4 linked regions of the Neodiprion lecontei genome follow. The protein of the gene in region 3 binds, or shares a complex with, the protein of the main gene of each other region. Links are inferred from orthologs where the notes say so. Each region holds a gene or a part of one and is shown on either strand. Other genes may lie near its edges.

Region 1 (7,298 bases), on a different chromosome or scaffold from region 3:
TGATTTCAAATAATGTGTAGGAATCAGTGTGTCGTAATTGGTGTACTTATCGATTCGAATCATTGTCTCATTCAAGTTTTAGTGCACCGAGTTTAGCTTCAAAATATCATCCAAGTGCGCCCGATTTGGGCCGGATTTTTGCATTCGGAAGACGTCTCAGCCACAACTCTGATTCACAGTTAATTTTTGATTCAATTTTAAGCAAAGAGTCAACCCTTAGTACACCACTACCGTATTATGCATATACTTCTAGTACACGTTCGCCTTCATTCAGTCATTTTCTAAATTATATGTATACTAAGTTGACAAAACATGATTGATATCTAGCCAACGAATGAGAATGACTACTTTTGGGCTGTGCAAATAATTATTATAAACAAAAAATAACAAGAGGCAGTGTGTTTGCGGTATGGTCAACAATGTTAGCACGTTTATAAGCATGTCGAAACAGTTTAAAGAAACGGATGCAGTTATATTTCGTTAGAGACAAATCTATTATTGATATCTATAAGCACCTGTCCTACGGAAGGAGCCTGAAGATATGTCGACACATCCGGTTCCACCATACAGCTCCTTAGAGTATCCGGGATGAACATGAGGAGATGTGTAGACGATGTCAATCCGGATTGTTGATGTTGCGTTTCGGGGTAATAGTTTTGACGATAATTACAATGATGTTGATTATTTGGTAAAATTGTTGGCGGTAATGAGTTATTATCACTGAAGATGTTTCTGTTATTACCGCCACAACGGTTATCTAGGCACTCGTAAATATTGGCGGTTGGTTAAAAAACCGTATTAAAATGTACTAAGGAAGAAAATAGTGAAAAAATATCCTACTACTAATATTATTATTTCCCGCCGCACAGAACTCGAAGATAGAGCGTCAACCTCTCCGGGGATATCAACGAGAACAAACACCACCAACACCACAATTAACCGTCGTTTCGTAATAAGTACAAATAATTTGCTGGCTCTTCGCTGATCTGCTCTTCGGCGGTTTGAGGAAAATATCTCGTGCAGGCAATCCCTGCAGATCGACTTAGAAAGGTAAAACCTCTCGATAATATTCTGCTCTATCTTCCCTGCACTGTCGTCGGTCAGTCTGGGATTCTTCTTGCTCCTGCTCCTTTTGTTCTCGTTTTTGATATTCGGCGTCGCACTGGTCACGCTGCCGCTCTCGTACTTATTATCGTTACTACTATTATTGTTGTTGTTGTTATTATTATTATCTTCGTTGTTACGGTGGTGGTGCTGGTAATTGTTGGGTGGTGCAACACCGCACCCACGCACAAGCATCCTACCCAAACACACACCACACTCGGGGAGAATGTATAAGAGATGTTCAAAATGAGTGTATAAATAATAAATAAACAAATAAATAAACTCAACTATCAGACCGACCCGCAGCCGATGCTTACGAGGCGTCGTACACCCTCGTTACCGTGCGGAAGACGCAGTCCCAAACTAGTGGAACACCACCAGCTACGAGATGAGAATATAGTCAAGCCTTGCCGCTTACCGCTTGCGTCGGCGTGCGTTTGCAGGGGGTCGAGGGGCACGACGTTTGAAAAGCGCAAGCTCTGAACACCCGAAGAGTCGCGACTCGCGCCGCGCCGCAACGCCGAGCTTCACTCTCCTCTCTCTCTCCCTTCCGCCCTCTCGCGCATTGCTCTGCTTGTCTTTCAGCCCAGAAGGGGGGGGGGACTCCCCGTTATTACCGAGCAAACGGGGTTAGATGCGCGCGAATCGCGCCTCTCTATCGTTTTTTTTTCTGTCTTTCACTCGCGCCTCCTCTCTTTTATTTACCCACCGAGGATAATTCTTCTTTTTTTTCCCGCTGAAAATCGACTGAAATTTTTTTCTTTCTTAGTATCTAACCGAGAGTTGAGGTATTGTAATCCTTTTGAATTCATGTTAATACTTTTTTTTTCGTGACGATCGAAATCTCGAATGCTTATTGTATTTGTAATTCGATTGGTAAACAGAGCGACGTCCGATAATTTGGTAGAATAGCCGTTCGAGGTAAAAAAAGTTCACGAACATTCCGTAAATTTCGTCTTTTTTCGGCAATTCACCAACATCATAAATAATTTAAAGGGATTATCAAAAAAAATAGGTCGCCACGGATATAAAAGATTCTGTACTCATCGAAAAAAACTCAACTGCAGTCGATAAAAGCCACCGCGCGCTATTTTCAAACGGAAATTACTGTTACACGTCTTACTGTATTAGAAATTCACTCATAATTTTCCATATTCTTTTCTTAAAAAAAATTAGCACTCCCGTAAAACATTCCTACCTGCCATTTTACGAATGGTCTTTTTCGAATAAAATTATTTTCAAACGAATTCACACATTGTCCACGAGCTATTCGTCAAAAAACTGTACTTTATACGCACATAGTCATTTTCACCCAAACAGGTAAGAAGGAATTGAAAGACACTCGACAGATCGTAGTTAATCATTACTGTTATTATTATTATTATTATTATTATTATTATTATTACTAGCACTATTATAATTATTATTCATCGATTGTTACAGTATTATATATTTTTTTTCTAAAAGAATACGCACTGATAAGTGACGTAAGGCCGGAATGGCAGCAGGTAAAAAAAATTCGATTGACATCACGTCATCACATGGATGACTCATTGGTGGAACGGCTTTTAAATACAAATTACCGATTAACCAGGGGTCACAGGGTTTTTTTTTTATCAACATTTGAGCGATTCAATATAGCTTACAAGTCCTATAGTGACATCCCGATTTTCCTTCGGCTATGATCTTGTAGCTTTGTGAACAGGCTAAAACTAAAAACGGATAATAAATGAAAGTTTACTTTATTTAAGAGTATTATTCCAAAGAATAAACACAACTGACAATGAATGCTGAATACTAACCCTTTTTAAAAATTCCTCTGCACAGATTCGAGCTCTCGCGTTCACAGATAGTTTCATTTCGCTGATTTCCTTGTCTATTTCTTCCATGAAATGAATAACAAAGTCAACGAGCTTGTGCTTGAACATTTGTTCAGTGTGGAAGTTTGTGATTAGAAAACTGATATCGTACCCCTGGAAGTGAGAATGTGACAACAATTGTGGTCCAGTTGCTGGAGTATTGGAAAGGAGGTCTTGGTCAAAGTAAGCAACTTACATCTATTGGTTTCCTCCTAAGTATAACAAAATTCTCAGCACGCATCATCATAAACCTCATAAATTTGTGGCATAATATCTTTTCAATCTCATCAGCCTGTTTGACAGATATGCTAACTCTGACACTATTGATGCTGGATTCAATCAGCACCCTTTCTTTGTCGTTTCTGCTTATCATCACTGGGGTCAGGAGAAGCTCTTTACTCGACATCACCTCCACCTCTGGCTTATTGTGACGCTCTACATCCTGGGAGGAAAAGTTTTCCAAACACATCGCTGCTGTCAGTGTACGTCGCACTGCTGTTAGATAAGGCTTCAATGTTGCCGACTGTAAAAATGCATCATTAATAAAGATATTTGAACATGTATATCACTCTGCAGCTAAACTAATAAATGTTTGGAGAGGAAAAACAGGAAGTCTAATCGAGAACCCGGAACTATTGGTATCAAAAATTTTATATCGGTATAAGGATAAGTTAGATATCAAATTCAAATGATCAATCTCTGTGTTGGTTTTATTAAATATCATTCACAAAAAACATTATTCAACATTCCGATATTGAATGGATTTTCATACGAAGTAGGTGTAGGTCTAAACAATTTTGGTCTAGGGATTCCAGAAATAAACAGGAGTACTGTATTGTCGTTATTTTAATATAAATGTGAAAGCGTTCGTTCCAGCTTATTTGTTATCAAGCCGAGATCACATCCGGTGTAGAAGATAAGGGAAAGAGGTGGAAAGCAAAAGTAACCATAACCTAAACTTTGAGGCAAGACAAACATGAACTACTTACCATTGTTTATCTGTATATTATCCTTATCTGAGCCCGTTTATTTCTGGTCTGTTTTCAATTTTCGGTCAAGCTTTCTGTAGTCAACTTCTCACTTTCAGGTCCTACAATCCCGCTACTAATAATTCACTCAACCCAAAGCAAATGACACATTCCCAAACTTGAAGGGTTGGGTTGAGAGGATAGGTTCTTGACGTTCTTGACCATTGGCTGTGACAGATTTGAGACACGCCTTTGCATCACCATCTATTGGCGGCTGTAGTACTAAACAATCCGACTGCTCCGCCAAACTTGGGTTGAATATAAAAAATGGGTGCGTCCCAAATTCGGTGGGCCCGGAGATAACTTGACGTTTCTGCATTACCGACGATCGTGTAAAATTCCGATGCACACGAGTCAATAACGACAGAAAACTGCAATTTTCCCCGTGTCCTTCGCCAGCAAACCCGTCCTACATAAGTAGGTAGGCGTTCTATGCATATAAAAATTCAACGGTTGAAAGGACTTGAAATACGTTGTTTCACATCAAGTGCTGATACGGGGAATCGATGAGTCGTTTTCCACCGCCGGAAGCGATAGGTTGATTCCATGAAGATTCACGGTGGCAGCTCGATAATCGCAAATATCGTTTGCTTTGTGGTTGTCGGTTGATTTGTCACCGAAGGTAGAGATTCTTGATTCTCCCCTCGGTTATTATATTGTACTCACCAACTCCGTGGTCCCGGGATCGGAGGAGATTGATTTGTACCTCGAAAACGGCCCGGTCGTCGAGTAAGAGAGTATCGGACGGGTGTTAAAACGTGACCCCGAGTTTATCGCGCGGAGCCGGGATGATATGCTCGGAGTATTTGCCCGTTGGCTCGGGGCTGCGTTGCCCTCGGATTAGAGGACGTCTGCTCGATTTCTTCTAAATTAAAACCAACTACCGACTAGCATTTGACACGCATCCCGCCCGCCGTAGCCGGCAAATAACGCGAGATTGTCTTTTGTCTTTAACTGGTGTAGAAAGGAACGGCACGCAGCCGTTTTTCGCCGCTTTTTAAACTGCCGAAACAACTGCCGTCAGAGGCATTCTGCTGATCTATCACAGTCAGACGTTAAAAAAGAGTTAAAATAAAAACATCGCGTTAACCTCATATCACCGCACCACGCGTTTATTTGACAACGAAAACCCAAGATGGCATCGCAAAGTCAAAATTCTGTCAACGTAAATCCGCCCGCTAACGGACAATCCGCATCACCCGATATATCCGCTCCAAAATCGTCTCAACCCACCCAGGAAACCATGCAGCAACAGCAACAGCAACAACAGCCTCAGCAGCAGACAAATAATTTTGAACCAATTGACAAGAGTTCATCGAACACCCTTAAGGTATACCCTCTGTTAATTTATTACAAGCAGAAGAAACTTATCGTTGGCTGAGTTAATCTGTAATTTTGTATTTTCATCTTGGATATGACATAACTGTGGGGGTTTTGCGCAGGAAGTACAATGACCGAGATTGTGCAGCTTCAGGAATTCTCTGGTTAATCTTTTTTAGGAATTCTTCTTGGTTCGCTTACCAGATTGGTAATCCCAGTTAGATAATGCAGTGCAGTTTGTTCTTCGTTGTAAAATTTATAACAACCATTGTGTTCTTCAGCTTCTTTCTTTTTAATCTAAGACTTGGGTCTTGTCTGTTTTTATAAACGAAATTTTTCATTTTCCCAATCAATTGTCTGTTCCCAATAGTTCTTTATCACACCATATATCTGGTGATAAAAAACATTCCGTAACACGAATCATCCATGTCAGATTAAATGTAATTATTAACTAACTGAATAATTAAATTCCTTATTAATAATAGATATTTGGCGAAAATTTTAATATCTTGTACACGTCGAATTTCTTAGAAATTGTTATCCAAATTGATGATCAGTTGTGATTGTTTCTACTTTGCAATTCGTATTTATCTAAAACATTTGAATATATTTCATGCGCAGTTTACTCAATCTTTCATACTTTATCTGATTTTTATACGAGTGTGAAGATTAGATAAGAGGTATTTTTTTGTTCGTCTCATACTTATTATTCAAATAAATACAGAATCTGAGGGAAAAAAACCAAACGAAGGTTTCACAATTTTTGTTTCAAATATGTAAATTACTTGATCAGTATTGTTATTATTATTATCATCATCATTATCAGAAATTCAAAAAAAAAAACTACATATTCCATTTATTTGTCCGTAAATTTTCAAATCTTTGTTCGTACTCTATTATTTTCAATCTATAAAACTCGCAGAAAATGCAGCTAAAGTTAACTAAAAAATCACATATATATGTATTTACAGCGTAACCCTAAGATGAAACTGAAGAAAAAAGATCTGTTAAAACTTCTCGGATACTTGGAAGGAGAATTGCAAGCACGAGACATCGTCATAGCAGCTTTAAAAGTAACTCTATAATATCCTAAACATCAATATAGTGATGATAGATTACTTAGCTCTGAAGAATCTAAAAGAATGAGGAAACGTGAAAAATTTTCAATTTCAGTCAGAGAAAATGAAGCATCTGTTGAACTCGCGTTACCTTTGCGGCACAAACGATGCTCAGGCTGCTTTGGCAAGGGATGACGCCGTTTTGGGTGGTGTGATAGTCGCGGATAAGAAGCAAGTTGATCAGCAAGTCGCAAGTCTGGAAGCATTGGTAATGCAGCAAAGACGGACGCAGTGTCGTATGGCAAAAGTTCTCAAGGATGCAGAGATAAGGCATAGAGCGGCAAGTGTAAATTTGATTGAATTTATCAAAATTTAACGTGTTAAAAAAAAAAAAAGGAAGACAAGAACCACCAAAGTAAGCCAGTACTGAGATTCAAACAAGACAATTTCATTGGATTTTTCAGGTGATCAAGGAGTTGGAAGAAGAGAAGCGAAAACACGAGCACGACACGGCTCAAGGTGACGACATAACGTACGGTCTTGAAAAGGAGAGAACACGACTTAAAAAGGAGCTCGAGCTTGAGAAACAGGAGAAAAAACGAATCGAGCTTGAGCTTAAAAAAGCCAACGATACACTGGAAGAGGAGAAGAATCGGCAAAAGCAAATCGTCTTGCTTCTGTTAGCAGAGAGAAAGAAGATAATAATGAAGTACATAGAGGAACGCAAGAGGTCCGAGGATCTGGCCCAGATTTTGAGCGAGGAAAAGGTGCGGATAGATTCCATGGCCGAGGGGCTGGAAGAGGAAAGCAAAAAGTCTTTGCAGATGGAGGCCGAGCTTGAAAAGCAACTGGCGCAGTTTGACATGGAGAGGCAACAGTACAGGCAAGCAATAATCAAAGAAGAGAAACGGGCCAAAGAGCTCGAGGTA
Region 2 (7,836 bases), about 14 Mb from region 3:
CACTCAAGAATTTTTTCCTCTGACAATATATCACAATTGTATAAATTTTTGAACACAAACAGAATTGAAGATACAGTGTCCAATGTAGCAGCAGTGTCTTGAATAGCTCGCAAGCAATCTGTCTGAGCTTCATATGATTTGACATAGTTCAATATAACCATGTCAAAATACTCCAACATCAGTTTCAATGTCTTCTGGTAGCTTTTTGACGAAATTTCTGAACCAGAATTGCTGAGATACTCCATTGGTAAACTTAATACAGCTTTAACTACGTTGTAGGAAACTTCGCGAATAGTAACATTGTAAGCATATCTTGATGAATTAATTTCTAGTATCAAATTCTCGCATTTGACTTTGTCCTGATATCCTCGCATCAAACTCTCCATCACTTCTGTAAAAAACATGTGCGTATCATCAGTGAGTGGCATCTCAGCAATCGATTCTTCATCGCTGCTACTGTAGTCTTCAAGATCATCAGAATCATCGTCGGACTCGTTTGTACATGTGTATTTGAAATAGGGTAATTCTTGATCAGTGTCAGGATGAGCTTTGCTCATGGAGATGTAAGTGATACAATCATTTGAATCAATTTGCATGAGGGAATCCGTGTGAACACTTTCCAATTTCAGCTTAAATTTCGGGCCCAAAATACAGCCGTCTATCTCAACTGAATTACCCAACTCACAGCCGGAGAATAAAACTGAATTTTTAACGATACAATCATCCCCAATTCTCACTTTACCCAGCAAGTAAGAATTTTCAAGTCTCACATTATTCCCCAAGTTACAGCCTTCTCCAATCACAGAACCTGTGATGCGTGTGTTTTCTCCCACATTACTGTTTGGACATACCACACAATCCCGTTCCAATGTACAGCCCTTCCCAAGAATCGAACTGTTGTGTTTATACGTACATCTACGTAGGTACAGAAAATACATACAACTTGGCATCATCTCAATGGTTAGGGGATATCCACGTTTTTGAAGTATGTCTCTGATTAAAGTATTGTAATCCCTCCAAGATGTGACTGGCAGCGCGTATTCTTCTGGATCTAATTTTTGCCAGTAAATTCGAGAGTCTAGAATTTCCTCGTTGATTAAGACTCCTCGGATAAAGTCTTCCATGGTCTGAAAATGATGTTGAAGACATTCAGTTGATAGTAAATTCATTCCAATGTTTAGAAGGGTGTTTAAAAATTTCAAAACAATTTAATAAACCACGATTAGGTGTTAATGACAATCATAGAATAGGATGTAAAAATATCATTGAGTAACATTTTGACGTTAGTATCATTGTAACGATGTATGTCGAGAAAAATCGTTACATTATATTTTCAACACTTGATTCCTGCAAAGTTATTCTGGAATTGCAACTTATTTACTTTTTCCTCAATGTTTCGTAACGTTGACATCGCTAACTTCAGCCTTGTTCAAAAACACAATCCAAACTGACAAGTCTATTGTATTTCTAAACCCATTCTATAATATCGTATTAGAAGCTTGCGTATCACATCAAACTTTTTCAGCAGAGTTATGTGATTCTGAAAAGAACTTACCTGAAAATCGAAATTGTCAGAAAACAAGGGAAGCACCGACGCTGAGCAAAGGTAAATATGAGTTTCCAGTAAACCGCTGTGTATTCGGACACAATCGTGATCCAAGAACAACTGTAATTCCAATTTGACTTTTCTGTCTTTCTCTGAGAGTTTTTGATGAAACAAAACTTTGTTATTCGAGTTATCAGCGGCAATTAGACAAGTTTTGTTTTCTTTCACCGGAAAATTGTTAGATCCTAAATCACGGAATATCAGCGTCATCGCAGCGCCTTTGTCTTGTTTTGACTTAAATCGATGCCAGTCGAGAAGCCTCTTTAGATTGGCATTGGTGAAAGCGTCGCCTCTGATCAGGATGAAGTCGCCGCGAATGATACCTTTGCTGTCGATGTCTCGGAGAGCATCGCCAAGCGAACGGCAGCCATCAGAGACGATTAAATGTACATTGATAAGACCCTTGTAATTTTGACTTTGTACGTACGATCTCAAAGATTCAACGTGGTTACTGCAGTACAAAAATAACTCCTGTATATCGTTCCTCACTAAAGTTTCTGTCAGGTATTCCAAAAGTGGAATATGAAAAACCGGCATCAACGCACTTGGGTAGAGCGTCTGCATGGGATGTAAATTTGTGGAGAAGTCATCTGCTAGAACAACAGCCTGTCGGACCTCTTCTTTCTTCAACTCCGTCGCTGCCATTTTATTAGATATTGTACAACCGGTGATTAACCCACAACTATCTTGTTAACGATTGTTAACCCTCGATCACCCTCAGTCCATCCACAACTGTCAGCATGGAATGCGTTTATACTTCTTCTAGTTCTTCTTTCTTTTGGCTATTTCCAAGTCCTAAAGATGGCGCCGATTATTCCAGGGACGTAAGATATCGTATTTGAACAAAGGTTATCGTATTATTGGATTATATTAAAACGTACCATTAATGATGCGTAGAATATTTTAAATGTCATTATCGTAACCGTATATCCCACGCAATACTCAATTTATATGCGATTTTATGATCTTCTCTCATGTCGGCCACCCGTATGGCGCGAAAACCTGCACAATTGGATTTTTTTAAAAATCAAAGTAGATCTAGTTTCCAATAAACTGTTGTTTATTATCATGAATATTAAAATTGCAACAAATATATGCTTATCGTAGATTATCTATCGTCCTCTGTGTCTTTTGATACGTCAATGTTTGAGTATATTTTCTTACGCATTTGCAATTTTAGTACACCACTTCATTAGCGTTGCCATAAGCACGGTCTTACATACAGGTCTTGAAACTCATCAAAAGTTGCGTGGTGGGGGAAATACGCTTACGGTGCATTTTTTGTTTTTCGACGCTGCCGCCAGTTCGCACCACTGATATATATATACACGCGTGGTGCCGTCACGCCAATTGAACGGTATCCATTTTGTACAGATTCTTGTCACTTCAGATATATATATATATATATATGTATACGTGATATAGGTATATCTTCAGTCAACGAACTCTGATTCGAATTTGATTCAAATGTAAAATAAATAATTGACGTGCTCCAACACATGTGGAAAACAATATTATTTGTAAACTTAGCATTGAAATCACGTAAACTACAATGCCGTATTCGTTTTTTACGAGATGCGTTGATAATTGTAGAACGTCAATTATTTTCTGGTCATTGCAATCAAATTTGAATTGGAGTTTCAGCTTTTTCCAAAGATTCGACTCGCGGCCACCAGCGGAGTGCTGCGGGCAGCTAAGCATATTTCTTTCAACGAACACCCTAATGCACATGTGTGATAGTCACGTGACTTTCAGCAAGATTGGTAGAGGCATTCTGCGCATGTGTGACTTTTACGGTTTTATACGTATTGCGACAGTATAACTCCACTACTGACATACATGATATAGCGATATCTGGCCAGACCCCACCAGATTATAGTTTGCCTGTAATAATTTCTCCACCCTTGCGGCGTTTAATTTCATGTTTAAGAAGATAATCAATCTACGAAAAAGTATCTGTCAAACATGCCTGTGAGTCTATCCTTTTCAATTTACTCAAATTAGTAATACAAGACTTATTTCTGTCTTGAAATTGTCGATTTGGTTTTCCGCATTCAGGAGCTGTCAAATGGGTGTATCCCTTTGATATCATGAATCATAACACGGGGTCACAATTTAACAGTGTCGTTGACCTTGATCCAATCGACCTACTAACGAGATGTTGATAGTCAAAGATCACTTCAGATTTACTCTTGAAGTAAATCACGGACTATAATTTTACCTAACCTAATTTAACTGTCAACATGCTATTACCGTGTCAATAAATTCTGACGTGTTTTGCTTTTCTACTATTGATAGACTTTCTCACTTTCACATTATCATACCAATTTTGCATAAAATTTCAGGCATATCATTCAAGTTTTTTAGAAAATAACCAAACGGTTGGCAACATGGCATTGCTACCGTTCAAAACCCAGTTTCGAGGACCAGCACCGTCATTCAGTAACAAAGAATTAGATATAATAGACGAAGCTTTGTATTTCTTTAAAGCAAATGTTTTCTTTCGAACCTACGAAATTAAGGTAATTTTTTAATTTGTATAGTTACATTAAGTAATGTATGTACTGTACACTTATATTACTACCACTTCTTCGCCCTTAAATATTCTACAGAGCGAAGCTGACCGAGTCTTAATTTACATCACTTTGTACATCACTGAATGCTTGAAGAAATTACAGAAATGTGCAAACAAAAATCAGGCAACCAATGAGATGTACACCTTGGCTATTTCCAAATTTGATATTCCAGGAGAAGCCGGTTTCCCATTAAACTCTGTTTATGCTAAGCCAAATACTGCGTCTGATGCTGGTAAGACCATTGAATAACAAAATCAAACACATTTTCCTAATTTTTTCACAAATTGCTACCATTACTTCAAGTGTAACACAAATATGAATTATATTCTAAATGTTGTAATGGTTTTTTTCAGATTTAATGAGGCAATATTTACAACAGTTGCGCCAGGAAACTGGCATTAGAGTCGTAGAAAAGGTTTATGGAGAAGATGGAAAGCCCAGCAAATGGTGGCTGTGTTTCGCCAAGAAGAAGTTTATGGACAAGTCATTATCCGGACCTGGCCAATAAATTGTAAATTATCTTCTCTTACAATTCAATCCAATCGCTGTAAGATAGGTTCATTTTATGGCTCTTGTCTTTTTCTGAAGAGTGAGCTACATGTTAATTATTAATTGTTTTTCACACTTCTATTAACATCAATCAACAATTTTTAGAATTTTCCTGCAATGTTGAGTTCAATATGTTTAATTTATTAAGAAAAAAAAATATCCGGCTGATAGTTGTAATCAATTTTAAACTACTAAATGTTCCCTGTTACGAATTAGATAGGATTTCATTGGAAAAATATTGTGTGTAGGTAATTACAAATCCTGCAAACACAATATGTTTAATTAAATAAGGAAAGAAAAAAATATCCGGCTGATAGTTGTGGTCAATTTTAAATTGCTAAATGTTCCCTGTTAAAAATTAGATAGGATTTCGTTGGAAAAATATTGTATGTAGGTAATCACAAATCGGGCAAAACACACTTCAATTGTATTGTTTAATTTATTACAGATAAAAAAAATATCTAGCCGAGAATTCTAGTGGATTTTAAAGTGTAAATGTCCCTTGTTGTAAATTAGATAGGATTTTGTTGGAAAAATGTTATAGGTATGTAGATAATTACAAATCAGGCAAACAAATGGTACGCACGCATGTGATGAACCAACGGCAAAGGTAAAACAATTTGTGAAACGTATAAATATACCTACGCATATTCATCCCACGTAATATAATTTTCAATAAAAACTTTATTTTATATTGCGGATATAAAAATCGGATTTAAAAAATTCAGCCATAGCTTCATTTCCCGAAATTTCTCCGAAATTATTTTCGGCTAACATGCATTTCACGATTAGAGCATAAGTGTACGCAATACATCATCTTCAGTTAACGTGCGACGTGCTCCAAGAATTAATTTAAATCACTAACGCCTAAGGGCTCAGTCTCACAAGCCGCGACGCGGCATGCATTCGTTCTTGGCGCAGCGGAATTCGCGCTTCCAAAAACCTGCAATCTTATTGGTTGCTGGATCTGTGTTGCCGCACCGTGCTCTGTGAGACTGAGCCTTAAGCGAGGTCTTTGTATACAGGGTATACAAGTCTGAAATTGGTATTTAAATACCTAAATATCTACGCGGTAGAAGAAGCCCTGATTTTAAAGCTAGTTTATAGCCGCTGAAATCGCTGACATCGACTGATGTCAACGGGGATGTATGTAAAAAGGCTGTGTTCGTAAATTGACTGACAGTACTGAAAATTCCCTAGGACAGAGTCAGAGCTATCCACGAACTTGGTAGCGCAAAAGAGATAAAAGATTGCTGACAGTACTGTCAGTCAATTTTCGAACACGGCCAAAATAGATGTGTGTCCAAACCGCTCTTGGTGCTGTTTTCGCCACAAAATGGCTGAGCTTGGCCAATCGGATGCTGATGAACTTGCTCAAGACTTGGCACAAGATGGTGGCAAAGTTGATTGCAATTGATTGGACTAACAACTTTTGGGAACTTTGGTGACACGGAGGGTTAGACAGAGATGGACAAGAACGAATTCTTTGCCAGAGATCAAGCTATCATAGGGTTTTCGAAAAAATGCAGCTACGTACACATAAAACCTACTCATATATATTCATGCCTAATCCTATATGCTCTAAAGTCCGAAAGTGTTGACCTTGTGCGACTGCAGCGCTATCTACCAGCGAAAGAAACGAGGTCCGTTTGATCAACGAAACATTTCATTTCTTTGTAATCCTCCATATACAACGGTTCCGATGCCACTTGAGTGGGATTACTCTTACACCCGTATTCATATTCCTTCCTTGAGGAACAAGGATTCCTTCACGGAGTAGTAGGAAGGAGACAACACTCTGCGATAAAACTTGTCCCCAGTTTTAAGGTACCGTAAGTGGAATTGTCTAAATGCGATTTGAGCGCCTCTTACGGAAAAAAGTGAAATTTCCGCTATAAAATGTAAAAAAAAAGGGCGGCAATCATAACCTATAAGCCTCCGTTTTATAAACACACTCCGTAAATTAGTAAAATACGCATCTGAAGTGTATCCACGTAGAGAAATTAAAAAACGGGGACAAAACGCGTACAATTTTTTAGTATACGAGCAGTGGTGAGTGTCAGGGGGCTGAATACGGGTATTGGAGCATGTATAGTATATTATATGCTCTAAAGTAAGCCGTGATGCCGACCCATGATGCCGACGATAAGCCAAGTGGCCAAAATTCGAACTAAGTAACTCTCCGGCCATTTTCGTAAACGAAACGAAAGTGGCTGGCGTCCGTCGACAAACGTTGATGCAACGACACAGACTTCACACGGGTATAAATCCGTTTCAATCGCCAGTTTTTTCGTGAGCTAGTGAGATTTTAGTGTCGATTATCGGAACATAAGTGTCAAAATGTCGATCGGGGTGCCAATTAAAGTACTTCACGAAGCCGAAGGTCACACTATAACCTGTGAAACTAACACCGGCGAGGTTTACCGCGGAAAGTTAATAGAAGCCGAAGACAACATGAACTGTCAAATGCAAAACCTGACCGTCACTTATCGCGATGGACGCGTAGGCCAGCTAGAGAACGTTTACATTAGGGGCTCAAAAATAAGGTTCCTTATATTACCGGATATGTTGAAAAATGCCCCGATGTTCAAAAGACCCGGTGGCAAAGGCGCCGGCACTGCGGGCAGAGGAAAGTCTGCAATACTACGGGCACAGGGTTTGTTTTTTCACACCAATACAAATAGATCTAGAATCTTTCAGTTTTTCATCAAAATCGAAGTCCGTAAACATGTTTTGGCCTACTGAACATTTTATTTCAGCAATGTGGAATGCAATCCGATTCGAATTCATATTTCTGTTTGACTGGCAATGTTTCAGAGACTCATTTTTCTAACAAGTTTTGCACTTTTATGCATCAATATTCTTTTTCCAACGCAAATTATCACCGAATATATCTATTTTTAGCACGGGGCAGGGGACGAGGTCAAAACCAGAGAGGCAGAGGCACGGGTTCGGCCCCTTGGTTGAATCAGCAAAACCAACCAGGAGGTTCACAACCTGGAAGAGGAAGAGGATAAATGTTATAAGGATCATTTTTGTTTATCATTATATCTAGTGCACTAAAGTTTATTTAGTTCATACTTTTATAAGGGATGTAAAAAATAA
Region 3 (8,355 bases):
TAACGGAGAGGGCCTTGTATTGCTTAGAATGCGCTTTTCATCCCCTGTTCAATGTCACCACTGCTAAATGCAGGCTGGATTATAAAAAACAGCAAAATCGTGCCTTGTACATAACGTTGTTCAAACATTTGATTTTTGTTGGTGGCCGAGCCTGCTACAGGTGTGTAACAGATATGATAGACTGTGAAAACCTTGAAAAATTCTAGAATACAGTTACCTACAAACGCTTTTTTCTGTTCAGGACGAGTTTGGAGTTTTGTAAAATGTTGCTGTCCCTTGACCCTGAAAATGATCCATTGGCGATAGTCCTGGCGATAGACTTTTACGCATTGAGGGCACGAGAGTACAGATGGTTCATAGAATTCTGTGAGGCATGGGAAGACAGACGAAATCTTAGCCAACTTCCTAATATTGCGTACAGTTCAGCATTGGCCAATTTTCATCTTGGAACTGGTGGCCTGGCTGATGAGGTTCTTCAAAATGCTTTGACCATGTTTCCAAGTTTGCTTGTACCATTGTTGGACAAATGTGGAGTGCAGACAGATTCGAGGGTAAGTTTTTTTCACTCCTGTTAATATCTAGTAGAAGTCAATAAGCGCTGAATTCTTTCAGGTAATGGGTCACGATTTCTTCAACAGTCACGCCAAGTCCACGAGTCCTCCTGCATTGGAGAAAGTTGTAGCTCTCTATGTGGCGCGCAGCTATCATCTGTGGAAAGAGGCTGACATTCTACCTTGGCTTGAACGCAATGTGAATCAGGTTTTAGACCGGTTTGACGCCGGCCATGATTTTTTCAACTTCTGCACAGAAAAACGCACAAAGCGGTATCAAGGGAAATTACCGAAAAATATCTTGAGACATATCATTCTCTCAGACATCAAAGAAATAACCGTCGATATACAGGAGGTCTGTCCTGAAACGCTAAACGTAACGTACTATCGAAATTCGCCTGCTTCGTTCATCTGAAAAGACACAACACTGCCTCGTTAATTTCAGATACAAAATCAAGGACCAGTCTTATCACACGACCCCCTACCACCAGCAGATTCAATCGACTTGTACACGCGACTCCAAGTTAATCCCAGAAGCAACTCCAACAACTCCAACCTATTTTCGCTCTTCTTTACCTCCCTTTTTACGGACATTGAGGAAGACGTTGTCGCCGCGGCTGCAAACGGCTATAACTTGTTGTGAGTAAACCCTTGCACCTTACTTCTGATCTTCATAGTTTACCACTGAATTGTCTAATGTCAACTGCATTCTAACAGCGAAAACGCAATCGACAACGCGGGAAACGTCGAGGTAGCCCGAGATGCGGTCAGAGCTGATCTTAGGAGGGCTGTAACTAATTTGCTACACGAAGTCGGCAATTTATTACTACACAGGGCACCAGACGGTGTTAACGACGCCGATGCCGAGGAGGACACGGATAATGATCAGGAAGGGGACTAGCTTCTGTGACAGCATGAAATGTTGTTACAATATGGCCATCGAAATCCATCTGTTGATATACGTCCATTTTTAATATTTAGCGCGCATGCTTTAAGCGTGGACCACGTTTCTCTTTTTCATATATAATGCAGAAAGGTCTTAATTCAACCGACAATTCTGGTATTTTGTTAAACTTATTCAGCGCGATAGTCTGGTTGCTAGATAGAGAAAAAGAGTACGTTAGTGAATTGATTGTTAGGAGACTGTTGACTGATCTCGTATATAAACATACGGAGAACACAGAAAGCAATTTAAGTTTGGGAATATGTATGTGAAGTCTTGTGATAATGGGATTTCGCCGTTAGCCTGTGATTGAAGGATGTATACAATTATACATGGTAAACAAAACGTATTTAAGTTAAGCTTTTACCGCCTGATTTCATAAATAAATATCATGAATATATGTAAAATAACGGGTCTAACGCCGTGTTGTGTATAAATATTTGATATCTTGAATTTAAAGAGAACAATTATTCATCTGAATTGTAATTGCCTCGTTTCAGTTAATGAGCTAAAACAGAAAGGTGATATGGTGGGTTTTGAAGTGGGGTACATTCAACTCGAAGTGTAAAAGCTGTCGACGAGAAATGATACAGTTTTTTGTTACATGGAAAGCAAAAGAATATGAATATATATGTTGAATAAATGTAATTAGAAAAGATTTTTTTATTTTGTGATATTTTTGTGTTTTTGTTTTTCTTTAACGTACTTTTCGTACGTGAAATCTCTATACAATTGTTCTGCAATGTGTTTCCTTATTTGTGTTGTACACAATATTCACCTTCCTATGGAATTTTCAATGATACATACAATATGTATGTATAATATTGATTAATTAAATGCCTGCAACGTGAGTCACTCACCTGTTAGACTCGAGAAATCAACGCTTCAACATTTTCATATTTATAAGTTATTTGAAACGAGGAAAGCAAACAATCTGATCGCAGATTAGATTCCCGATTTATCACTCGATTCGTTAAAATTAATATATTTATGTAAAAAAAAAAAGGAAATCAATGAATTGCTTTATGGTTCGTGCGTATTTCAATCGACAGTTATTATCACATTGATCCGCTAATTACGGTTCAATTATGTCATAGCACCAAATACTGGATTATGACGGCATATTCCAGGACCGTACTCTTGGTAAGCAGCTTTTGTATGACAAACCTGATAGAATTCAGGAGTACTTGCTAACATGGATCCTCCAAACCAGACGGCACAACGCTGCATGTGATGCGATATCACTTGGACGTCAATTGGCTTTGGCTGAAAAACATTGAAATTAGGAAACAGCTGAAACCTGCGTTTTCATGGCAGAAAATTCACAATGGTTCGGCGCTTTTTACCTTGAGATGACCCCCGCTAAGAGCTTCACTGAGCTTTAGTCTGGCATCGACAGTTCTCTTTATGTCACGTTGCAAACGTCTACCAAAATCTCTGAACATCGTTGAACCTCCGGAGAGTACGATATTATGATACAATGGCCTCCTCACATCAATGGGACAGTTCTGAATCACATTATCCACTATTTCGCTCAAAGGTGTCGTGAAGTCTGGATTGGAGAACTAAAACGGTAATTCTCTAGTTCAGTTTACAATTATATGTGATAATACCGGTTCATCAACAGAGAAAGGAGTTTCCTCACCTCAGGATGAAAGAATATTTCAGGACCTAGAAATCTTTCATATCCAACATCGACACCAAAAGCCTGTTTCGTGACGCTGTTAATTCCTTCGAATCGTTTAAGCCACTTAGTGGGATCACTGTCATACTTAGCAAATTCTTTGGCAATGTCAGGACAAATGTAGCAAAATTTTTCCTTTATCGCTTTTGCTGTTTCCAGCGACTGTTCTGGCGGTATGCCAATCTCACGCTCCCTCAAAAGGCTTTGGATGAAGTAGGTAATGTTGCGACCTGCTATCGGAATGTGCTTGATGCAGCTACCAATCACGTATCCTTCGGCCTAAGAAAAAAAAATTAAGACCTTAAAGGCTAAACAAACTTCAAAACAGAAGTAACACATTATGATGACCCCTGATAAAATTCACTCAACCTTAAAGAGGCTGTTTTTACGAGACCAAACTAGCGTGACGATTATAATCCAAGTAACTCTACAAAAGCTGATAACAAAACAGTTGACTCCTGTGTGTAAGCATAAAAAATAATTGTTTTCATCGGGGTCCGTAAAGTTACTTGGATTATAATCGTCATTCCAAAGATGGGTCTTTAACAATCTACCTCTCTCTAAAGTTGAATGAATTTTGTTATATGATCGATGTGTAAAACTTGCAAACACCTACCACAGGAATAACATGTGTAACCCCATCACCACTGTCCACAACAATCCCTGTTAGTATCCTGTCCTCGACATTCCTTGATGTCCAGGATGCGGCAAGGGCAAGAACAGCTTGTACGGCTATGTATAGTCCAGGTACATTGAACGATTCAAACATAATCTCAGCGGTGTATTCCCTATTCTCTGGTGTGTTAAGGGGTGGCTCGGTGAGGAGGAAGTAGTGGTCTTCAGGCTCAGCTCTAAGATATTTAAAGATGCATTGCTCGAGGAATCTCTCCATCAGGTCCCAGTCTTCAACCAAGCCATGCCTGACGGGGTACTTGGAATTTTTTCATAAAAATCATGATGCAGTTTCGAAAATTAGAAGACTGTTCGAAGTGGAATACGTAAAAGAAAAGACAAGCTTATAAATATGTGTGTAAAAATTGTAGCTATTTAAATTTCCACATAATCACCTAGTGCGACAAATGGAAGAGGTGATTTGACTTATAAGAACTGAGAACCAACGCTTACCTTGACTGCATATCCGGTAGCGTCAAAGGCTTCATCGCCAATGAAAAAATCCAAGTCTTCGACACCCTTGGTGACTCGCCTCGCAGAGTTGTCGCCTACCTTGGCTGTTTCCTTTATCGCTATAGCGGACGGTATTATAAATTGAGGTTCTTTGTTAGCGGCGAATCCCAGTTTAGTATACCTAGAAAACAAGGGGGTTAGATTAAGGTTGGATAGCGTTGACTCACACCTTTGATGGATACGTCAGCAGAGATGGTAATTGCAACGAGTAAATGATGGAATGTGAGAATCTTGGAAGATCGTTTACAAATCACAATTCAACAAAAGTATCGACCGCTTGTGGGTCGCGAGTTGATAAAAATCAGGGCGTGCATGGTCGGTAGGAACATTGTGGTTAGTCACAGGCTGACTGACTGGGGAATGTCAAAGTGATCGGGCTCGTTAACTTTTATATATACGAGAATACTTACCCAGTACCGACGTCGATAACGCACGCAGGAAGGCGTCCGGCCATTCTGTGTACCTACTATTTACCCTCGCTGAATATTGGGAATCGTTTCACTGATAATATTCGGTACTTTTTAAATCAAAAAAACCACACCTAATACGCGATAACGACAGTGGGAGGGGGACTTGTATACTTGTCAAGCTCTCCTCGAGCCTGCCCAGAATTCATCAAGCGGCAAATCCAGTGAAATACTAGCTCTGGCATCGCTCAATTCCAGGCGCCATCTTGTGACTCGTTCACAAACTTGACGAAGAAGACCCTAAGTTGTGCACAGGTTACATACGATTAGGCGGACTACGACGGATTTTTTAATCTTTGAAGATTAAAACCCTAACATACACGACCCCACGCGTTTCTTGTTCGTGAAATCATTTTATAAGTAATAATGGGATTCGAAAATGCATAAATCTGTTCATTTTTTTTAATCAAGAAACGAATTATGAAGAGCAAATTTAATCTTATTGAAGTTTAAATGGTGAAAAATTCAATCAACTACCAAATAGTACTAAAAACCGGCAAAATAGTATATTACGTAACAAGGATGAAAACTCAGACTTTTCGGGCCGAGCGTAAGTTTTCAATATGAGCCATAGGTGAGCCGAAGACAAATTTAGACAACATATGACTGTTGCCGTTTAAATTACGTAATAACAAGACAAATATTTTGATTTGAATAGAAAAAACGGAACATTCACTTACTGCCACGAAACGCCAACGGCAGCTTTATAGGGGGGTCGTTAGCGACCCCACCAGTTTTTTTAAAATTGTTCTGCGCAATTGTCAGCAAGCAATTGATGCCAAGCAAGCTTAACTTCACTAACAGTTAGTGACAATGAATTATGGTCACGGTCCCCAGCCGATGATATCAATTTTTAACTCAGGAGTGCAGTTTGAAAGTCGGCCGGGGTCGTTTACGACCCCGTACATGCGTTCTAGGGTTAGAAATTAACCGCTTCTAACGATGAGATGAAGTCTCGTCGATGTTTTAATCTTCTCCCCGTATCTTATAATTTCGAAGGAAATATCCCTCCGTGCTCTGCTAGGCAGAAAACGTTACAATTAGTTATTCAATTCATTCAATTATAACAGATTCCATAGAATTTACGCATTTCATATCAGATTTCGTGAAAATTTTACCAGCAGTGAAACTTCGAATTTCAAAGAGATTATGAGTTTTTTTCTGTGGTGCGAAAATTGAATTTCGCACGCATCGAGTGTTGCGTATAATGTCGTTGTTGCCTGGTTTCGTGCGGTAGGATACGATAAGAGGATGCTGGAATATCAGAGAATATCATCAAGGCGATAAAATAGAACGACTTGATTTTTCATTCTGCTTCAATTTTTTTTTACATCAGCATAAACAATTCGACCGCTTAAAAATTGGTAACAAGTGTTCATAACCTACAGAAGTATTTTGATCAATCAGTTTGATATAGGTTACATTATGATATGGCAACATGCAATTTATAATACGTCTACAGAGGATACCAATAGGTAAAATCACAAATAATTGACGTGGTAAGTGGAGTATAAAAAATATAGGCTAATTATTTATACGTGCATGATAAGGGGTAGACAATAATAGTAATCTACGAAAGTATTCCCAATATCTGCGCATAGCACGAGTTTGAGATTGAAATGTATCACGAATGAAAAGAATATCGCCCGAATATAAAACGGTAATAATTTTAACGAAACGTGGAATTGAGTTTATTTTCAGACGAAGATTTTCTCATACAGAGCGATAATAATCGATGGTATGAATTAACCAATTAGCGTTTACCTCGCAAGATTAAAAAGCATAATCATGGTAATCGAGCTGAAATGACAATCACAGAAGGCTAGAAGTCGCGAGTCTTATGGTCGTAAGTCAACGCAGATATTGGCAGTTTGCGCGATGCAACGGCGAAACGGGAATGTAAGCCGCACCCCCACATCATAAGAATTGGCCTCATTCTGGATTACAGCTCTTCCCGAGTCTTGGTTCCCGGTAACGAGGTGATCACCGTAGAGTCCTCCGTGTCGCTTATGTAACCTCTTTCTCCAGTGTAATGCGTCGGATAGAGGAGAAGCGGGGCAGCCGAGAGGGCGATCAAATCTCTCTCAGGAAAATGACCCTTCCACGCAGTCCTGTGTCAAAGTGTCGATCCAACAAACAAACTCGTTAATCACGTTTAAACGTGTGATTGAAACCACAAGAAACGGGGGAGAAATAATTGGACGATTAAACGCTCAGTACATTTTTGTTAGCCGGAAACGTGAACAAAAATTCAATTTCCACTGATCGATGTGAAAAAGAATGAGTGTATGCATAGAGGTGTGGATCGGGGAAATCGAACAGGTATGTTTTGCGCAAACGCCAATAATCACTGTGCCTTTCGTATGGTAATCGAAAGATATACAGGGAAAGTAAGATTACGTCACGGTTGTTATTGTGTTAGTTTTCGTTTGTTTTTCGTGCGCTCTGAAAATCCCCCCGTCTTCCAATTTCGGAGCCAGCGTAGCTTCTGCTTTTGCAAGTAGCTACCGGTGTACTTGTTATGCATGAATACACGAATGAAATATCAAGTTTCAGCTGGAAATTTATAAAATAAGTATGCGAAAGTTGTAGAAGAAGTAAATACGGCTCGACGTCGTTAAGAAAACATGAATGCAATTTCCGTAGACTATGAGAAAGTCAAAATATTTTAAGGAGGGGGAGAGGAGGAGGTGTAGCTTTGACGATATAAAATCATACATAGTTTTAGGAGTTCTTTGTTAAAGAAAATGAAAACACATAGAGCAATTTGAATTTGAAGGCTTTATTATTTATAGTTTGAAAAATATTTTAGAAAATTTTACATTTAAATTAACACAAAAATGGCGGCGTGGTGCACATAAGTAGCGAACGACTTCAATCTCGAGGACTTTTGTGGTGGCGCATCTCTTGACATCACTGTCCAACTTATAGGAGATGGAAAAAATTTTCCGAGTTAAAAACACCTCTTCGGTTTCGAACTCGTAGCCCAAATATTGAAAAAAAAATTACTTCAAGTATATACGATTATGAACAAAAAATGTCGGAATTAAAATTTAAAAATCTAGCCACGAGTTCGAACTCATAAACAAGTTTTAAAAATTGTGTCAAAATCTCAAGTCGATCGGATAAGACTTGACCGAGGAATCTGCGCCTTCGTATTGAAAACGTCGTCGTTCTCTACTTATATTCGCCATGCCGCCACTTCGTTATTGATTTCAATGAAAAATTTCTAAAATATTCTTGAAACTGTAAACAATAAAGACCGCAAACTCAAATTGCTCTGAATGTTTTCATTTTCTGAGAAAAAAAAAAACCTAAAAATAGGTATGACTTTAGACCGTCCAAGCTCTACCCCCCCCCCCCCCCCCTAAATCTTCACCTGGGATGTTTGTCGAAGAGGATAGGCAGGTACTCGTCAACGGGAACCATATTCTCAAGGGGCTTGGCCTCCAGCAGTTTCTCGGCTCCTCTCCTCGACAGCAGATATCCTAGGGTCCAATAGCTGTACCCAGCGAGGACGAGGTA
Region 4 (7,856 bases), on a different chromosome or scaffold from region 3:
CATTTTGCATAGAACACAGTCTGTTCCCTGCTCGTGTAGGCATTCAAGTGAGCTCCCATGTTCTCAATTTCCAGTTCCAGGTCTGTCTGGGAGCGTTTGGCAGTTCCCTGAAACAGATGTTAAATATTTAAAAAAATAAATTGCGCACGGAGCTTGCACAGATGCAAAAAATGCTGATCTTCAGGTTTATGCTCCTTCCGATACGGACGTTCTATCCATTAAAACCCTACCTTGAAAGCCATGTGTTCCATGAAGTGAGCAACTCCGTTGTTCTTGTCGTCTTCATACCGACTTCCGGCGTCGATCCACAGCCCAACGGTTGCCGTAGCAGCGCCGCTGTCTTCGCTGGCAACTCGCATGCCATTTTCAAAGGTCGTGGTCTTCGTGGCAGGCTGATTGATCAATGTCTGCTGAAGCGATGCTGCAGTGGACCTCCATTGCTTGGAGATCTGAAAAGGGGATGAGCTATAGGTTTTGCAGAAAAAGGAAGACTGCCAATTTTGAATTCTAAAATAAACACTGGGTATGGCAAGAACGTTAATTTCTCATCTCTTTTCCACCCATTATTGATCGTGGCATCGGCGGTACGGTGTATTATTGGATTCAGGATCGGAAGCTAGAATAACTTGAGCGATACTCGTGCGAATTGACGCCGTAAATATGAATAAATTGTGAGCTACATTACGTAAGGGGATACTACTTTGAAGCAGAAACAAAATTTGACTGTCGAGAACGGTTTTGCTCGCCGAGTAATCCCGTAAAAGATTTCCGAAAAATGTTGTGCTCGGCATAAGGCGAGACATCGACGAATCGTTGCGAGGAGTGACAGGTAGATGATTTTACCTTGACGTGACTGGTTTTATTCGAATAAGTTCGCAGCGCGGAACTAATCCTTAGCAGACGAGTCGCCATTTTCAGGTCTGGTGGTGTCTACCATGAAACACGAACTAAGAACGAGGATCTAGATGATACAAACCACTTTGCCGAGGTATCGCGATCTTCTAAGTGTTCAACTGTCGGAACGTCATCTTGTGGATTTTGCACAAACTGACTGTGAGTAGTAGCGAAAGCTAATAAAAAGAAATCGGTGCAAGGTGATTATATTCGTTCGATCTAGGCGCTAAATAAATTCTGTCATGTTTCACAGAGTAAAACGCCTGTCAAATGTAAATTAAAAAATTTCTGAAAATTCTTGCGCTATATTCGTTCTCTTCTGATTAGATTCCATTGCCAGGCCTCTGGCGTGTGAAATATATGTATATATTGTAATTTCATCTATGACTTGATCTAATTCAGTCAACGCTCCCATGTTTGAGATTGTTGGTAAATTTTGTATTTAAATTTCAAAACACCCGCCTTGAGGTCGGCCATCTTTGACTTTTGGAGCGCTGCCTGGGGGATGTCGAGATGAGGAATTGATTGTTGTTTACTTCTTTTCCCGCAGGAGGGTTCGAGGGGCCGGCCTAGCTCCAATGTTAACGCGGATTTCCTGCCGCTGGAGCGGTTGAGGATCCGAACCCCACTACACCCAGTCGAAGTGGAAAGATTAGAAATTAGTCAGAGCCGTCGTATTCGGTATTCATGGTTACAACAGCACTATATAATTGTTAATTATTGTATTATAGCATATTATATTCTAATAATAAAAATATTAGTCGTAATAATGATCTTACTTGAGATCAACAATAGGATAATAGAGGAAACGTTAAATAACAAAATAAAGAATGCCTTGGCTGGGTAAGTCTGTTTCGATGTTAAAAATTATACGAATAACTTTTTTTCCAACCGTTTATTCGTTTCATTCACCTAATTCCCTTTTTTTATTATTATTATTATTTTTTTTTATTTCTTATCCATATCAAACTAACTTTGAGGTTGGGGCGGTGTCTCGCTTTCGATATACCGCGGCTCTTTATATATCCTTATCTGATTAATTGCGAGAAACCGTTTTAACTCACTTCCCGGGGAAACTTGCGATTAGGAATCGCAAATGACAGAGAGTCAGGCCCGACCCTAGACTAACCTCACCCTGTCTAAACTTACTGGCTTTGACAGAATCTGTCAAGTGATCAAAACTTTTCTTTCCCATCTCGCCTACTTTACGCACCGATCTGCAAACTCTTATCTCTCGTTGACCACATCCTCCCACATTTTCACTCTGATGTGCAGATATCAAGAAGCTCCAAAAATAGAACAATTTTTCACACCTTTCAAATTGGAGCGTTCATTATGTTGAGACTTTAAATGCTACCGCATGACCGTTTGAATCACAAGGGGATCATGTTAATACGCGAAGCGCTGCATTTCGTTACTGCGATACATATTTGCTCATTTTCTTGTTACAGGCATAAACCGGAATCGATAGATGTCAAAATAGCTGACTTTGACGGAGTTTTGTTCCACATTTCCAATGTTGGAGGCGACAAAACCAAAATTAGAGTACGTATTCTGTCAGTCAATGACGAATACTTAAATCGTATCGTTGCCAAACTAGTCCACATGAAAATATTTCTGCACTCTCATTTTATCCGTATCTTTATTCCACACAGATTAGTATCTCGCTCAAGTTTTACATGCAGTTGCAAGAACATGGTGCTGACGAATTGCTCAAACGCGAGTATGGCCCTTTACTTACTACCGAAGAGGATGGTGAGTTGCAATTTTTCCAGAGTAATGATTTGTTTAAAATCCGTGGTGCTGATTGTTACTCTTGTTCCTTTATTTTGATTTAGCAAAAAATCTTCTGGCATATTGCCTTTGATTAAAAAAAAAAAAAAAAAAAAAAAATGAAAAGACTAATATTGTGGACTAATTTCTATCTCTTTGGATGTTTTCCTGTACATCAAGGCTCACTCGTTATTCTACGCTTTGCAGTGCCCTGTGAATGAATATAACAAATTATTTATCTTCTTTCCAAGGATACAATGTGTCGTTGCTGATAGATTTAGAGAACTTGCCCGAGGATTGGGAAGCGTTGGTCAAAAATGTTGGCCTGCTGAAAAGGCACTGTTTTGCAAGTGTATTTGAAAAATATTTTGACTTCCAAGAAGCAGGCGAGGAAGGCCATAAAAGAGCAGTAATACAATATCGAGATCAGGAAACACTGTGAGTATCGTAACAAAATGTAACACCATTTTTGCTTTAGTTGAAATCAAGTTCGTTGAGTCAGGAGAAATTCATTTTCCTCCTATTTCCAGGTACGTAGAGGCCAAAAGTGACAGAGTAACCGTGGTATTTAGTACAGTGTTCAAAGATGAAGATGACATAGTTATCGGCAAAGTGTTTCTACAAGAACTCAAGGAAGGGAGACGGGCGAGTCACACCGCGCCACAAGTCCTCTTCAGTCATCGGGAGCCACCGTTGGAGCTTCAAGATTCTGACGCGGCGGTCGGCGATAATGTGGGTTACATTACTTTTGGTAAGTACTTTTCGAAATGCTTTTCCAAGTGCTCGTTACTTATCATTCGACAACTTATTATATGCCTTTTACGGCAGTGCTGTTCCCGCGACACACGAATCGGGAGGCCCGTGACAACACCATCGACCTGATTCACATGTTCAGAGATTACCTGCATTACCACATCAAATGCAGCAAGGCGTACATACACTCAAGAATGCGTGCCAAGACCTCAGATTTCCTCAAAGTACTAAACCGCGCGAGACCCGAGCCTAAAAACATCGAAAAGAAAACCATAACGTGAGTATAAATTACAGTACTTGACAAAAAATCGCTAGCAATTGTTTACCTAGAATTCTGATCCGTAATTGCGACCCTCTTTGCTAATTTTTTTTTCACTTATTTTTGTCTTCTTGCAGAGGTCGAACGTTCATTAGGAAGGAATGAGCCTACGAGTCAATCGATAATGTTAATACTAATTAAAACAGAGATGAACGAGGGACGTTCAATTACCTTGTGTCGTCATCTAAGGTCCACGAATACAAAAACAAAAAGATGATTCGTCCTTGAAGCGACGGTCCCGTTTAATAAAATTAGTAAGCCAAGAGCTTCCCATCCCACAGGCCCGAGTTTATGCTATAGTATTTGGCTATACAGGCTAGACAGGCGATAGTTTGAGTGTACAACAATTCGTAGTAGATTCTTGTAATTTTTGTTTGTGTAATCCGTTAATATTTACAATTTCGTCTTTAACTATTAATTAATTATTGCCATCGTACCTTCTACTGCATTTAACATGCCTAACTTCGAGTAATTTTTTGTGTATAAGTACTTTTCAATGCATTTCTTTTTCAATAATTTAACTAAAGATATTTACAATAACCTTTACTAAACTTTTAGTTTCTCAGTTTGAGCCAACTTATTCTGATGTATGAACATATTTAATTTAAAACTAATTTTACAACAGCACCCTAGTTCGAACTAGCAACGTTAATGATAAGTGTTCAGTCTTAACGTAGTTGAAATAGTGCATTTCAAAATCAGAATTTGAACGAGGAAATTTTAAATACCTTGACTCATATTCAAAATGAAATTGAGCAAAAAAAAATAGGAAGTCCAATACGTGACGTTTGGGACATTTGAGTTGGAATATTTGAGTTACAAAATTCTGCAATAATATTCATCATCACGATGATCTTTCCAATTGCAGAAAGCAAAACTTGTTCCTGACTATTGTAAAGAAGGTATTTTTTTTTTTTGCATATCGAAACCTTTTCTCATACGTCAGCACTACTCGCTAGTCATTTAGACAAAGTAGCATCCAAGTTGTTGCGATCAAAGTGACGATGTGTGGGAACTGTTTGAAAATTCGCTATTTTCAGTGGTTTCATTTTGATCAAACTACATGACTATCCTGTATCGCACAAACACTCTGACGTCTCTAGCTCCTGTTTAGGAAAACTCTGTAATGAAAATACGGACTAGTGACGCCAGGTAATATTGGAACTGGAAAAAATGTTGTGGTTTACCCTGATCCTATCTACTGTAATTATAAAATTATGAAATTGAAAACAGAAACTAGTACATAATCTAAAAACAGAAAGCTTCAGACCGAAAAGAAACGATAACAGATAATCAAGAAATTTAACAAATAAAAAAATGAAGTGGATACCGTTAAACGACGTAGTTTTTTGCGTCGTACCCGCGTAACATAGTACATTGTTTTTGTAACAAATGATTATTTTTATTTCCAATCTTTACCTATTATTATTATATAATAATTATTATTATAAGGTAATAAAAAAAATATTACAAATAACGAAATGCAGTGCAAAACAAACAAATAATATTTAGCCCCTTTTTAAGTTTGCTAATACTTTCCAATGACGACATAAACTTAATAATGGCAATAATAACTCTCTCCTCGGAGTCACGGAGATATTGATCTTTGATCAAAGAATAGGTTGAATCATGCGAAGCAGTAAATTAGGGAGTGCCAGTTGGAAATATTCATTAGTAACCATGCCACACCCTCCATGCCACTCAACTTGATCACAAACCCATTCTACATTTTCAGTGAGATAGGATTTTTCGTCCGGAATACACTGAACTAAATGCCTCTGTGCAACAACTGTGCCAACTAATAGAACACTTTTCAACGAATTTTATTTTTGTAAAAGAAAATAAAGTCCTCTGCCAGGGGTTTTTCCGTGCAGATAGTTATTCACTTACCAATTTAAGCAGCCAAGATTTTGTCAAGATATATCGACACAATGTAACGAAGACCCAGTGTATTATGTGAACAGATAGAAAATTCACCCGAATTTTCAATGGACAAAGAAACAAATTTGACAATGCCAAGCTCCGCTTCCTCGACGTTGACCGTGCCACCCTGTTCTCCGAACGAAGTGCCGATAAGGCATGGAGACTGTGGCGACGGTGGCGTGAACGAATGGCTCGAAGACGAAACCGTGGCTGGTTTTCGGGTATGGCAATTAGCTGGAATGGTTCTCTCCGTTTTGTTAACTATCATAATAGCACTGTGCTGCTGCATAAGATTTAGAGTTCCTCGGACGAAGCAGGAGATCGAGGCTGACTATATTAGGAACAAAATAACAAGGCGGTTCAGGAAGGAATTAACAAATATAAATAACGAAGAGATGGACGAAATGGACTTGAAACGAGGTAACAAAACAGTCAAATCACTTGGTCATACATTGCCTTATTAATAAAATAACGTTTTCTTAACTCAGCTCTGGACAGAGTACGAGCAAGATTTGATGCCGAGACTGAGCTGCAGAGACAACAGAAAGAAGTGACGTACAATGAGCCGACGCGTGGATTCAGAGCAAGAGTAAATGCTATTTTGCACGGAGTGCATTTGCGACTTGCCCGAAACGAGCCAAGGGAATTGAGCAATGTGATTTAAAAAATTTGCTCCCAAGAAGATTCTACATCGACGAAAAATTGCTGTACAGATTATTGCAAAACAGTATAAATAATAAGAGTAGTGTAAATTTTCTACAATTACAACTTTTGATCTTGGAAGAAATGGGTACAAATTTAAAAGCCAGAACGGATTGTCAGAGTAAATATAATCTTTATTTTAAAGACAGAATACACAAATTATTTTCTGTTAATTTAATTCACATGCAATAATAATAATAATAATAATAATTAACCACTAATAATAATGATAGCATTCCTCTAATTATTAATTCTCACTGTTTTTTTTTTTTATTCTTATTTTAAAATTCAGAGCTGTCGATTTTTCGAATCGAAAACCTAGTTGGTTGATAGCTTGTTTTGAGATTACAATTAAGAATATAATGACTAGTCGCCGACCGTTGCGTTACCAGTATTTTAAGTTTCAACATAGAGTTTTCATCGGTCGCTACTACTATGACATATTGACTATTTTTTACTGGAAGTAGCATCAGTGTTATTAGTTATTTTGTGTTTTCAGTGATTTCAGAGACAAAGAGAGCAGAATATAACGCCAACGTAGGCATTTCGTTTGACGAATCTCTCCTACTGTCAAATGTGAATAGGTGTCGTTAAAAGGTGATAAAAAAAATATTATCATAATAATTGAGAGAAATGTAAGGTAATAATTATTGTAGTTAAATGAAAAAATAGAATAAACGTAGAAAACAAAAAAAAAATACATGTCAAACCGCCAGTCTAAGTCTATTATCGGGTAGAATATGTTTTACATGGATTACCGTCTGCTTTGGTACGCTAACAGAAGACAAGCTTAAATTTATCCTAACGACCACACAATACGGTACAATACAATCATCGTTTTACTTCCAATTCACGAATGACATACTCATATGATTAATGCTCAGACATCGCATGCTCTCTTACATCCACTGGAATGACTAACGAGTAGAAAAACTGGGCCGTTATCTACAATTCATGAAATGATATCTTCTATATTTCATCTTAATTTGACAAGTACAGTTTACAATGAAACTTACTCGAGTTAAAACTAACATGACAAGGGACTGCAGATCAAGACTCTATAAATTAAGTAAGCAATATGAAATCTAAAAACAAAAAATTAAATGCCCTTTTCAAATATCGTAGATAGTCATCGCGTATACTAAAACTACGATTAAGGACTAGATTCCTATTTACCTGTCAAATCCCTTGCCATTTTCATCCATATCAGGTTTTTTTTTTTTTTTTACTACTAAACAAGCATTCTTGAGTCGACTAGTCGTAAAAGCTCTGAAAGTTTTTGTAACAACGTTGATATAAGAAATTGTGTCTATAGAGAAAAGGTGAAAAAAAATAAATAAATAAAAGTTACCAAATCTTGCACCCGGAATTTGTTCATAAGGGCATAAAATTGTGGCATAGCTGACTGAAGGAGCAAATAATTAGGTATGACAATTTCAATAATAGGAAGCATCGTTCCAAAAGCACTCGCTCGTTTTTAGGGACACGATTG

The links.
Region 1: actin-related protein 3 (region 3) and actin-related protein 2/3 complex subunit 4 share a complex: the UniProt entries of both Caenorhabditis elegans proteins name them as parts of the arp2/3 complex. The link is inferred for Neodiprion lecontei from reciprocal best matches to the Caenorhabditis elegans genes arx-1 and arx-6.
Region 2: actin-related protein 3 (region 3) and actin-related protein 2/3 complex subunit 3 share a complex: the UniProt entries of both Caenorhabditis elegans proteins name them as parts of the arp2/3 complex. The link is inferred for Neodiprion lecontei from reciprocal best matches to the Caenorhabditis elegans genes arx-1 and arx-5.
Region 4: actin-related protein 3 (region 3) and actin-related protein 2/3 complex subunit 2 share a complex: the UniProt entries of both Caenorhabditis elegans proteins name them as parts of the arp2/3 complex. The link is inferred for Neodiprion lecontei from reciprocal best matches to the Caenorhabditis elegans genes arx-1 and arx-4.

The regions. Positions count from the first base shown.
Region 1 is NC_060264.1:35,277,255-35,284,552, forward strand, and holds actin-related protein 2/3 complex subunit 4, read right to left. Parts: upstream 4,231-7,298; 5' UTR 3,956-4,230; coding exon 3,953-3,955; intron 3,487-3,952; coding exon 3,160-3,486; intron 3,078-3,159; coding exon 2,907-3,077; intron 2,817-2,906; coding exon 2,811-2,816; 3' UTR 2,461-2,810; downstream 1-2,460. Other genes in the region: nuclear factor 1 C-type, read right to left, coding at 516-596; CTTNBP2 N-terminal-like protein, read left to right, coding at 5,127-5,321, 6,283-6,384, 6,485-6,709, 6,834-7,298. UniProt on the Caenorhabditis elegans protein: Functions as actin-binding component of the Arp2/3 complex which is involved in regulation of actin polymerization and together with an activating nucleation-promoting factor (NPF) mediates the formation of branched actin networks.
Region 2 is NC_060261.1:15,630,096-15,637,931, reverse strand, and holds actin-related protein 2/3 complex subunit 3, read left to right. Parts: upstream 1-3,417; 5' UTR 3,418-3,571; coding exon 3,572-3,577; intron 3,578-3,951; coding exon 3,952-4,128; intron 4,129-4,218; coding exon 4,219-4,414; intron 4,415-4,535; coding exon 4,536-4,690; 3' UTR 4,691-5,432; downstream 5,433-7,836. Other genes in the region: translation initiation factor eIF-2B subunit epsilon, read right to left, coding at 1-1,127, 1,556-2,251; small nuclear ribonucleoprotein Sm D3, read left to right, coding at 7,072-7,387, 7,636-7,748. UniProt on the Caenorhabditis elegans protein: Functions as a component of the Arp2/3 complex which is involved in regulation of actin polymerization and together with an activating nucleation-promoting factor (NPF) mediates the formation of branched actin networks.
Region 3 is NC_060261.1:1,974,637-1,982,991, reverse strand, and holds actin-related protein 3, read right to left. Parts: upstream 5,014-8,355; 5' UTR 4,818-5,013; coding exon 4,774-4,817; intron 4,485-4,773; coding exon 4,304-4,484; intron 4,110-4,303; coding exon 3,795-4,109; intron 3,458-3,794; coding exon 3,140-3,457; intron 3,060-3,139; coding exon 2,841-3,059; intron 2,761-2,840; coding exon 2,581-2,760; 3' UTR 2,501-2,580; downstream 1-2,500. Other genes in the region: transcription factor 25, read left to right, coding at 1-160, 242-551, 613-927, 997-1,190, 1,269-1,452; glycosyltransferase 25 family member, read right to left, coding at 6,773-6,941, 8,210-8,355. UniProt on the Caenorhabditis elegans protein: Functions as ATP-binding component of the Arp2/3 complex which is involved in regulation of actin polymerization and together with an activating nucleation-promoting factor (NPF) mediates the formation of branched actin networks.
Region 4 is NC_060262.1:1,738,487-1,746,342, reverse strand, and holds actin-related protein 2/3 complex subunit 2, read left to right. Parts: upstream 1-1,517; 5' UTR 1,518-1,663; coding exon 1,664-1,737; intron 1,738-2,345; coding exon 2,346-2,439; intron 2,440-2,549; coding exon 2,550-2,649; intron 2,650-2,918; coding exon 2,919-3,105; intron 3,106-3,197; coding exon 3,198-3,418; intron 3,419-3,495; coding exon 3,496-3,697; intron 3,698-3,816; coding exon 3,817-3,844; 3' UTR 3,845-3,945; downstream 3,946-7,856. Other genes in the region: mitochondrial-processing peptidase subunit beta, read right to left, coding at 1-107, 231-449, 844-912; transmembrane inner ear expressed protein, read left to right, coding at 5,728-6,082, 6,151-6,326. UniProt on the Caenorhabditis elegans protein: Functions as actin-binding component of the Arp2/3 complex which is involved in regulation of actin polymerization and together with an activating nucleation-promoting factor (NPF) mediates the formation of branched actin networks.